Linked DNA regions of Sus scrofa. The protein of the gene in region 2 interacts with the protein of the main gene of each other region in a pairwise test. Links are inferred from orthologs where the notes say so. Each region holds a gene or a part of one and is shown on either strand. Other genes may lie near its edges. The genes, in order: RNF8, HOMEZ and SMYD1.

What was found.
Region 1: the proteins of HOMEZ (region 2) and RNF8 interact in binary tests that used the Homo sapiens proteins (3 or more experiments, as listed by UniProt). The two-hybrid records come from large-scale screens. The link is inferred for Sus scrofa from reciprocal best matches to the Homo sapiens genes HOMEZ and RNF8.
Region 3: the proteins of HOMEZ (region 2) and SMYD1 interact in binary tests that used the Homo sapiens proteins (3 or more experiments, as listed by UniProt). The link is inferred for Sus scrofa from reciprocal best matches to the Homo sapiens genes HOMEZ and SMYD1.

The regions. Positions count from the first base shown.
Region 1 is NC_010449.5:32,938,229-32,941,880, forward strand, and holds part of RNF8 (E3 ubiquitin-protein ligase RNF8), read left to right. Parts: intron 1-2,313; coding exon 2,314-2,442; intron 2,443-3,652. UniProt on the Homo sapiens protein: E3 ubiquitin-protein ligase that plays a key role in DNA damage signaling via 2 distinct roles: by mediating the 'Lys-63'-linked ubiquitination of histones H2A and H2AX and promoting the recruitment of DNA repair proteins at double-strand breaks (DSBs) sites, and by catalyzing 'Lys-48'-linked ubiquitination to remove target proteins from DNA damage sites.
Region 2 is NC_010449.5:75,795,227-75,798,550, reverse strand, and holds the end of HOMEZ (homeobox and leucine zipper protein Homez), read right to left. Parts: intron 3,288-3,324; coding exon 1,690-3,287; 3' UTR 524-1,689; downstream 1-523. UniProt on the Homo sapiens protein: May function as a transcriptional regulator.
Region 3 is NC_010445.4:57,915,912-57,919,663, forward strand, and holds the start of SMYD1 (histone-lysine N-methyltransferase SMYD1), read right to left. Parts: upstream 2,666-3,752; 5' UTR 2,572-2,665; coding exon 2,435-2,571; intron 1-2,434. UniProt on the Homo sapiens protein: Methylates histone H3 at 'Lys-4' (H3K4me), seems able to perform both mono-, di-, and trimethylation. Acts as a transcriptional repressor. Essential for cardiomyocyte differentiation and cardiac morphogenesis.

The DNA.
Region 1 (3,652 bases), about 43 Mb from region 2:
GGGTTAGGGCATGAAGGGCCTCAGAGGCTGTGGAAGGAAGTTTGGATTATTAGAAAATTTTAAGAAGGGAAATGATCAGGTTTAGTTTTTACATTACACCCCAGCTACTGTGTGAAGAATGGAGGCTAGCACAGGAGTAGAAATAGTGCTACTGGAGGAAGAAGTGTTGTTTGGATTAAGCTAGGAGCCACTGAGAGAGAGAGGGAGAGGGAAGGAGAGAGAGAAGTGAATAGATTTAGGACATATTTGAACTACAGCCAGTAGATTTTGCTGATGATTTGAATGTGGGCATGAGGGACAGAGAGCAAATCAAAGATGGCTCCTGGGTTTTGGGCTAAGCAGTAGGTTGGATGGTGGTGTCAGTTGCTGGGATGAGAGTTTATGGGGAGGAATAGATTGGAGCAGCGAGTCGTTCATGGTGGTCTTTAAGAGACTAAGGAGGACAGGCATGATTCTGAAAGATTTTCAAGAGGAACAAAAAGGGCAGCTTTTAGAAAACTACAGACATTTGGCTTAGTGTTCCCAGGTAAGGTCTGGATATGGGTCATTGAAGAGGGGCTTGTGCAGCAAGAAGAATAAGCAGGGCATTCTGCAAGCTGGATCCCGGAAGAATTTCATTTCCTTCCTTGACAGGGTTGTCATGAACTAGATTGGTCGGTCAGCAAAGTATGATGCATGTGAATTGGGTCGTCTTTGCAACCTTTTCCAAAGGCTCTCATGATGTTCTTGTGGGTAAGATGGAAAATACAGACTTTTCCATCTTTTGATTGGATTATAACTGGTTGAAAGTATACCCAGATTGTGTGTTAGAATGTTGGTTTTTTTGTGTGTGTATTTTTAGGGTTGCACCTGTGGCATATGGAAGTTCCCAGGCTAGGGTGTCAAATCTGAGCTGTAGCTGCTGGCCTACACCTCAGCCACAGCAAAGTGGGATCCAAGCTGCATCTGCAACCTACACCATGGCCATGCCGAATCCTTTAACCCACTGAGCAAGGCCAAGGGTCGAACTTGCATCCTCATGGATGCTAGTTGGGTTCAGTATCACTGAGCCACCATGGGAACTCCCTTAATTGTTGAATTTTTTTGTGTGTATTTTTAGGGTAGAATATTTGCTAGGCTTTCCTAAGAGCTTTGCCTTTGGCTACAACCTGTTTTAATCTTCTTAATCTGTGTCCTGAATGAAGGTACAGAAGGCATCATATCAATTTGGTGGGTGACTTAAAGCCAGAATGGATATTGAGTGTGTCTGATAGCAGATTAAAAATTCAGAAAGGTCTTGACAAGCTAATGATAGGCTAAACTAACAAGATGACATTTAATAGGAATCAATGTAAGGTCCTGCACTTGAATCCACATTTGCCAGTTAGTCTAGGACAGAAAAGACATGACTTAGCATAGGAATTCTTTGGAGGGTTAGTCCAAGAAATTTAATCATTCCTAAGCCTAAGGGTATGCTGGCAGTGTGATAGATCTACTGTGAAAGCTAATGTTATTTATATTCTCCACTGATAACATCTAGAACTGGGAAAGTGATACTTGTATTCGACTATATAATAAAAAATCAAGTTTGTTTTTCTTGATATGACATCTAGGAATAACACCAAAAATCTCTTCACAGACCTATTAAAATGGCAAGAAGACTCAAACCTATGACATGGAGTTATGTCGAAGTAATAGGAACATAGGGCCAAGAAAAGGGAAGATTCCACAGATGCACTATAGCTCTCATGTGAAGGGGAACTGGAGATTTTCTGGTTGTGGCCAGGGCAGAGCTTGGGCCAGTGGATGGAAATTATAGGGAGAAAGATTCCAAGTCAGAGCCATTAAAAAGTTGGCGGGACTGTCTTGTATCATAGCTATAGTTCTTGGCCGTGTAGAAAACTAGTTAATGGGGTGTGTAGAGAGAATTCCTCCATCCCATGAGTGGTTGATGCAGGTGACCTTTCAGAGTCCTACCAACCCTGACACCCCATGATTAACTCCGTTCAGCTGTCTCTTGTCACAGCTTTTTGCCTTTTTCTTTCTTTCTTTTTTTAAACAAGTGGCCGCACCTGCAGCATATGGAAGTTCCTAAGCCGGGATCGAGCCACAGCCACTGTAGAAGCAACACTGAGCCACACGGGAAGTCCATTTTTTGCCTTTTTCTATCCACTGGCTTCTATGGCAGCTGAAGGAGATAGCCAGTGAGCTGCTTGCCTTTCTGCTCTGGTTTCCTAAGTCAAGACTTGTGGACACTGCTGGTTGACAAGATTGTAATGACCTCCCTCTTCAGCACAATGGCTGATTGTGTCTACGTTGTTGTTGTCTTCTTAGGTGACTGTAGGTCGAGGATTTGGTGTCACATACCAGTTGGTTTCAAAAATTTGCCCTCTGATGATTTCCCGAAACCACTGTGTCTTGAAGCAGAATGCCGAGGGCCAGTGGACAATTACGGACAACAAGGTAACTGCAGAAGACTAATAATGTTTATTGAATTTTTGTTTATTTTTAAGTTCCTTTATTTTTTGCAGTGGTAGAGAACTAAAAGACTCAAAAATATATCTTCTCCCCTAGCTACTGACTTGTCTTTCCCAGAAATGACTGCTTCTCTGTGCTGCCAGAGATTAGATTATGCCAAAAGAAGTTCTAATGACTTGAAGTTAGTTACTTTGAAGGGAACACCTGAATTGGGGCAGTAGGTCCTGTTCCAAAAAGTAGACTAAGTTACCAGGGGACTTGGTCTCTTGTGAGTTGAAGGTCCAAAGACCTTGGGAATCTGACAGAGATTTTGGAGTGCTCCTGTGGAGGAGGGAGGAACTGAGCTGATTTCACTCGGGTCCTCTTACTGCTCCTTTTCTTTTTTTTTCTTTTCTTTTTTTTTTTTCTCCGCTTAAAACAAATTTGAAAACCACAGGTTTAGTGTGAATACTAAGGCAGGTGAAATAGTGTATAGAGCTGAGCAATTAGGAAGACCCTAAAGTACAGATATACAATCACCTGGGAATGCAGTGAAAATAGACACTGTGAAATGAGAGAAATTCCAATATAAACAATTAAGGATTAGGAAGTGTGAAATGTCTTCAGACACCATTTTGCACTACTCTGGTTGGAAGGCATATAAAGATACCTATTAGAAGGAAGTGTATGAAGATGGTTCTGAGATCAGTTCCAATGGATGTTGGGAGGGGGGAGATCTCCCCTCCACATACCACAAGCAGTGCATACACCAGCTGGATGTCTTGCAATTCAACTCAATCCTCTTCTGTCTACCCGGAGATAGCATCAGATTCCACAGGTAGAGGGCTCCATCCCACAAAACCACTCTCCTCTCAGGTGCCATTCACAAGCCCAGGTTAACATCTGTGCTTCTGACACGTGAACCTATTATAGGTTGGAGGTTCCAAGGACCCCATCCTAGATCTCCAGGAGCCATTTGCAGGTCCAGATTGTTACCTGTACTTCTGACTGACTGGCTGTAAATCAGAGGTTCCCATGGCCACCTCCCTTTTTGGATTCAGTTAATTAGTTAGTTATTCGCAGCCAGGAACACATTTATTTACATTTACCAGTTAATTATAAAAGGAAATGGTGAGGTGAGGGATACAGGTGAACATCCAGATAGAAGTGATACATAGGACAAGGTATGTGCGCAGGGATATGGAGCCTCCATGCC
Region 2 (3,324 bases):
GAAACTGGATTTTTTTTTTCTTTTTTGTCTTTTTGTCATTTCTTGGGCCACTTCCTCAGCATATGGAGGTTCCTAGGCTAGGGGTCCAATTGAAGCTGTAGCTGCCGGCCTATGCCAGAGCCACAGCAACACGGGATGCAAGCTGCATCTGCAACCTACACCACAGCTCATGGCAACACCGGATCCTTAACCTATTGAGCAACGCCAGGGATCGAACCTGCAACCTCATGGTTCCTAGTCGGATTCGTTAACCACTGAGCCACGATGGGAGCTCCTGAATTGGATTTTTAAAGGCATTTCTAGACTCCCCCTCTTCTGAGCAAGAGGCTCTGCTGTAGCAAGTGCAGGAAACAGTCTGCCTAGTAATAGATACTGATCTACTGTCTTTTAAAATTTTTGTTCTTTTACTTTAACTCAATATATCCTGATGCTTAAAAGATAAATAAATAAAAAGTATACTAAATCAGAAAGTTAATGGATTTGGCTCCATTAATCTCTAAACGATTAAAGTAGCAAAGTGGAGGAGAGAGAAACAATTTTATTTTTGGCCTTTTTATTATTATTCTAGTAATTGGGGGCTTCCAACCTTTTATTTCCAGATGGTTAACCCACTGATATTGTTATAGGTGACCCCATCTGATGAAAACCATTCTAAAACATCAATTAATTCAGTTAAAGACCATGGTCCCTCTGTCCCCAAGACAGATCCTATCAAGAGAGGGAAAAGTCTCTTCTCTGGACACAAATTAAACTAACATGAAAAAGATAAAAAATCAGTCTCTGTCAAGCTAGGCAGGAGGGAGTGTCAGGTTTGTAAAACCAAACCTGGTACCTACCTTCACCGTCCTTCCAAACAGTAGAAACCATTCCCTCTCCTCTTATCCCTCTGTAATCTAATTCATTTTTAAAAGGACATCTCGCCTAAATCCCACCTCCAATAAATATCCAGTCTAAATTATTCTCCACCCAATTATTAAACTTTTTCACAAGCTCTGGGGGGAAGATTTACCCTGAGACAAATAATAAACAGAATGGGGATTCTGGAAAGATAAAAAGGTACAAGGCATAGTGGTCCCAGCATCAGAAATGAAAACATTCTGCTCCCTGTGTGACTCGATAAAAGCAGCAGGAAAACATATAAAGTCAAGCTGATATGAGGGAGAGGAAATATTTGTGACTGATGGGGACATGAGATTCTTAGCTGCATTATGCAAGGACCTGTGCTTGGAGAGAAAAGAAGGGGTGCAAGGCAGCTTTATGTTCCAGGGAAAATGGTGGGACTGGGGGATGTACTGGAATCATCAGTGAATCAAAATTCTTTACTCCTCCTTTGCCTTCCCCCATAGACATGGGCCAAAGCCTGGCCTCTCTGTAGTACAGTAGGGAAAAGTATGGCAGATCTGAGAGGAGAGCAAGAGCCTTTTCCGGCCCCATCATTTGGACCAGACCCTTGGCACTCTCTTCATTGAGGCTGCAGGCCTGGATTCCTGCCCATCCAATCCCCACCTCACTTTGTGCCTTGGTCATCCTTCCTGGTTTCCCTCACTACATCCCCCAGTCCCGACCCTCAAGAACACAAAGCTTTTCAGTTCTTTGCCACAAGGTAATTATAAAAAAATGTGGTTTCTTTGTTTAAACAGTTACTAAGTTGGTTCATCTTTTAGTAACAGACCTCCCCTCGCCCCCCACTCAGTCCTGGATGATCACATCATCGTCATCATCATCATCGTCTTCTTCCTCCTCCTCTTCATCCTCACAGTCTTCTGGCAGTTCTTCCTCCTCCTCTTCCTCCTCTTCATCTAGACAAACCACCACTTCAGCTGGCTCAGGTAATCGAGAGTCAAACCAATCCAATACCTGCTGGGTGCTCAGCCTTGATGCCTGACTCAGTTGAGGGATATCGCTCTGCCGTAGCTGTTGGTGGGTTGACCAGTACCTCTCCAGGGGTCGTATATCCGGTGGGGGTGGGGGATTCGGCAGAGGTGGTGTCTCAGCCCAATCATTCAAGGAGCGGGTTGAAGGTGGTGGTGTGGGAATTGCTGGATCCTGGAAGCTAGGGGCCCCAGGTACTGCGTTGTCCCGAAACCATTTTAGTTGCCCATGCTTCAAGGCATAGCGTGTGTCACCAAACCACTGAATAATCTCAGGCCGAGGTAAACCAGTGATCTGCTCTAATTTATGGTAATCCTCACGCCGTGCCCACTGGCACTGTAGGAAAAATGATTTGAGGATAGCCAGCTGCTCTTTGGTTTTGCGCTTGGTCTTTCGCTGGCGCTGCATATCTGGGGAAAGGTACTCTGCAGGGCCAACCCTCCCTGGTGCTGAGTTATGCCTTAGCCCCTGGGGCCAGGCTGGCTCCAGATGTGGGGGTAGTGCCTGTTCCTTGGGTGATGGTGGCTGTGGGATACAGCCCAGTGGCTGGAGGGGTTTAGAGGTGGCAGTAGCTCCATTAGCCAGTACCTGGAAAGAGGAAGAAGAGGTAGAGGAAGGAGGAGTCACATTAGATGCGGACTCCTTCTTGCAACTACTGGCAAGTAATGAGATGGGCGGGGGCTTATCCCGAGCTCGGGGCTGGTGGACAGCTGTGGAGTGGTTCCAGGAAGCAGTACCTAGGCCGTGGGACTGGTCGGGATCCCTGCCTGCCTGCCCTTTAGAGAAGCCACTGCTCTGAAGATCCTGCCAAAAGTTTGATTGGTGGGGGAATGTCCCAGTGCCAGGTACCAACAGGGGCTCTTTTGCTTTCTGGTGACTCAGTGGCTCTGAGGACTCCTCAGGCTCTACCTTCAATCCTTTCTTCTGGGTGGGCTCGCTAAGAGTCAGGGGCACTATTCCAAGACCCACTTGTTCTGGAGGTGGCATCGGAGAAGGAGGCACCTCCTCTGGGGGCCGCCCTGCATGATGAGTGAAAGAGAGAAGGGATTTGAAGTGGAGTTGGTCCCGATGGTAGACCACACGGGCTCGAGTCTCTTCTATTTCTTCGGATGACCAGCTAATGCCACAGCGGAGGCGCTGGGCCATGAACCAAGTCTTGACTTTCTCCATCTGCAGCCCATAGCGTAGGCAGAGAAGGGCAATGTCTGCTAAACTGGGATAGGGAAAGTAGCTGAAGGTTTGTAGCAAGTGTTCATTGCCATCCAGCTCACTGGTCTGGGCTGCTTGGGTCCACACAAGCTGTAGCTCCTCAGAAATTGGAGGGAGACAGATGAGCCCCGCAGGGGAGCTATTAAGACTGCTGGCCTCTTTATTAGGAGGCATGGTGCTTTCTGACTTGTGCCCTTCAGAGATCGCTGTAATAAGAAGAAAAACAGTTCAATCACTGGGGCT
Region 3 (3,752 bases), on a different chromosome or scaffold from region 2:
ATATACTGCAGGTGCAGCCATTAAAAAAATGGTAGTTTATATATAATAATATACAAGCCTGTAGTACAAACAAATGAACCCTGTGTTGTAAAATAAGCAGGAGACAATCAACAAGGTTGAGTTATCTTGGTGTGAAGATACCTTTTTTTCTTCCTAAATTTGACTTTTATAATGAAGGGAAAACCCACTCAACTCCAAACCGTCGTGAAGGAGAAACTGATTGGCCATATTGGCTTTTAGGGAATTGCAGAAACCCATGGAGGTTCTTTAAAAGGCAAGGTGGCAACTCAGTGGCAGCACCAAGATTATTCAGGGTTCCTGTGTTTCTAGATTTTTTTTTCCTTTTCCTTTTTAGGGCCATGTGGCACATGGAAGTTCCCAGACCAGGGGTCAAATCGGAGCTGCAGCTGCCAGGCTACACCACAGCCACAACAACACCAGACCCGAGCCACATCTGCAACTTACACCACAGTTCACAGCAACACCGGATCCTTTACCCACTGAGTGAGGCCAGAGATAGAACCCGAATCCTCATGGCATTAGGCAGGTTCCTTACTACTGAGCCACAATGGGAACTACCCTGTGTTTCCAGCTTTTTATGTCTTAATTTTGGATGCCACTAACTCCTCATCCACCCCCAACAGACACACGCACACACACACACATACACACACACACAATTACATTAACAAAGTAAGACCCAGAGTTCCCATTGCGTCTCAGTGGTAAAAAAAAAAAAAAAAAAAAAATCTGACTAAGATTCATGAGGATGCAGGGTCAATCCCTGGCCCTGCTCAGTGGGTTAAGGATCCAGCATTGCTGTGAGCTGCACTGTAGATTCGCAGATGCTGCTCTGATCTGGCGTTGCTGTGGCTGTGGCTATAGGCTGGCAGCTGCAGCTCCGATTGGACCCCTGGTCTGGGAACTTCCATATGCCATGGGTGCAGCCCTAAAAAGATGAAAATAAATAAATAAATAAGGTAAGACCCACTCCCCCAAGAGGTATTACTGTCCTCTCAGCTGCTTTATATTCCTCAGCTGGTATCAGCTGCCTTCTCCCTGAAGGTCTTCATAGGTAGGAAGAAATGAGAATTCAAATGCTGCTCAAATTATCTCTGAAAACCTTTGCCCATTCTCAGGATGGTCACGAAGCCAAGATCAGAGGCCATCTTTATTGAGACTACATCAATGTCAGGCAGGCCACCCCAACTTTTGAGAATACTGTTATAATTTCATCACAGTATAAGGTTTTTTCTAAAAAAAAAAAAAAGAAAAATAGAGATTTAGTACTAATTTGAAAGTTTGGGTCAAGGATGGACAGGATTGTGAGGAAATGAGAATGTAAATTTAACAGACCCACTAAGGAGATCCTATTAAAATGGAAAAAAGTACACCCTATGGCAGAGTGATTCCTCTTTTAGCCATTCATCCTAGAGAATTATCACGCATGAGTACAAGTGGACATGATCGAGGATTTTAACTGCAGAAATATTTGTTTTTATGAAAAAAAATGGAGACCACCAAATGTTTCTCAATAGGGCAACAGATTTCTTAAAGACCATATATTTACAGGGAAGAATATCTACAGAAGTTAAAATTTGTGATCCATAGAGCGTATGGATCAACATGGATAGATCTACACGTGGGAGGAAAAAACAGATCTTTGACGATTTAAAAGAAGTGTCTATAAACTTACAGTTTCCACATGGATAAGTATCAAAACATGCTTAGTGAAAACAGTATGTTTCAGAATGATGTCTGAAGTATGATAACATTTCTGTTAAAAAAAGACAAATTACAGCTATATATTTGGTAAGTACAGATATAGACAGATAGATGCAATAGAACAAGAATATTCTAGAAAGAATCATTAAAATCACAAGAAGGATTACCTCTGAGGAAAGACAGAGGGGACTGGGTTTCTGGGTGGGAAAGGTAAAAGAGGATTCCCGTTCATGGGTGATACTCCTATTTTCAAAAGCAAATGGACTCCAGGAGTACTTGCATATTTACATGTTTTTAAAATCCCAGGACTCACTTACTTCTCTAATATGTTTATTTTATCTCAGAAGCTAAAAAACATGGAGCCCTCTGGAAAAGATTTCAAGGCACCACACCCACCTCTCCCTTTCTCTCCAACCTCACCACACACAGCACTCCCACTCAGCCAAGTTCACCAGTGCTCTGAGCACTTGCCCCCAAGCCTTTGATCACCTTTGCAACCCCACCCCAGGCACCAGAGCAAATCCCACTGGCAGTGACTCTTTGCAGGAAAAGTTACACAAGAAAACAGTTAGCTGTTGGAATGCCATTCCTTATCAATGGCCCCATGGATTTTATCCCTTGCTCTGATGATTTTGAGAGCAAAATATTTGAGAATGTGGCAACAGCCAAACCAACAGGAGAAAAGAGGGCAACCACCCACATTCTGTACCTGTCAAAAACCACGGCAGAGTAAGCCCGCTCAGCGAAGATGACATCAGCAGCCCAGAACTCCTTGGTGGCCTTCAGACCTCTGCCTTTGCCCTCAGAAGTAATGACCTCCACATTCTCCATTCTCTCTATTGTCATCTCAGAATCTTAGGGCAGCTCGGCAGATATTTAACACTGAGCCAAGTCCCTTGTCCTCGCTGCTATTTCAGCACCTTCAGCATCCCAAAGAGCAAGCCTATAAATGGACAAGCACCTCCCCTTCCCTACCCCCTCTCAGCCACTGGGTCCCCACCTCCCCCTCTGCCTCTATTCTTGGAGACAGGGATGGGGCAAGCCAGAGGCCAGTGATCTGGGAAGGGTCCCTCGCACCGCCCAATGTAACCGACAACATAGAAAATGATTATGGGTTGGTGTGCTTCTCATATTGGGTCTGAAAACTTTTGAAAAGTTCTTTTGCAAGGGTAGTTAAGTCCTGGATGGCAGTCATGCTCAGCTTGAGTTGGAATAGGCGGCACTTGGTCAGTCGGGTATTTTTAGCAGCCAGATGCCTGTGTCAATCCAAAGCAGACAGCTGAAGTGGTCCAAGAGAAGAGGCGAGGTGATGCTTACTGTTCTGGGACCCTTCAGCTGTCAGGCTTGGACTTTCTCAAGTGAGACGGGCCCCTTGTTCCCCCCCCCCCGCCCGCCCCCGCCCCAGGCACCAGAGCAAATCCACATGGGTGGACTGTTTGCAGAAAGCAGCAGATGCAAAAGTGGCCTCTGGGCTATGTGCATAACAGTACGTTTAGGTTCTAATGGGCATCCCTCTTCCCCAGTATAACCTGGGCCTCCCACAGCACCTCCATCCAGGGCCTGGAGGACTGAGAATTCCCTGATAACACGTATGTGCTAGATGAAAGCTATATTATGAGAGCAGGCAGGCCTTGACAATGAACACTCTCCTGTCTCTCAGGCTATCAAATCTCCCTTAAACATGTGTTTGTTGCCAGAAAAATAGTAATTGGATATTGGATGGATTATTGCAAAATCTCCCTTGAACTAAAAGCCACTTGTCTTGAAGGCCAGGCAGCTCTCACTGAGGTTGAAAAGAAAGACTCTTGCAGATCTGGAGCTGTGGCTTACCTTTCAGGTAATATTTTTAGTTTCTGGGATGCATCTATTTACAGATTTCTGTGCTCTGGATTTCTGTGAGTGCAGTAGCTTGTAAGTGCTGGCTTCTGTGTCAGCTAAATCTGCATTTAAATTTTGAGCCTACAGGGACAACTTTGATATCCTAGTTACAAAACAAGGGGGATAGTTTCACTGGTAAATGAAGTAAT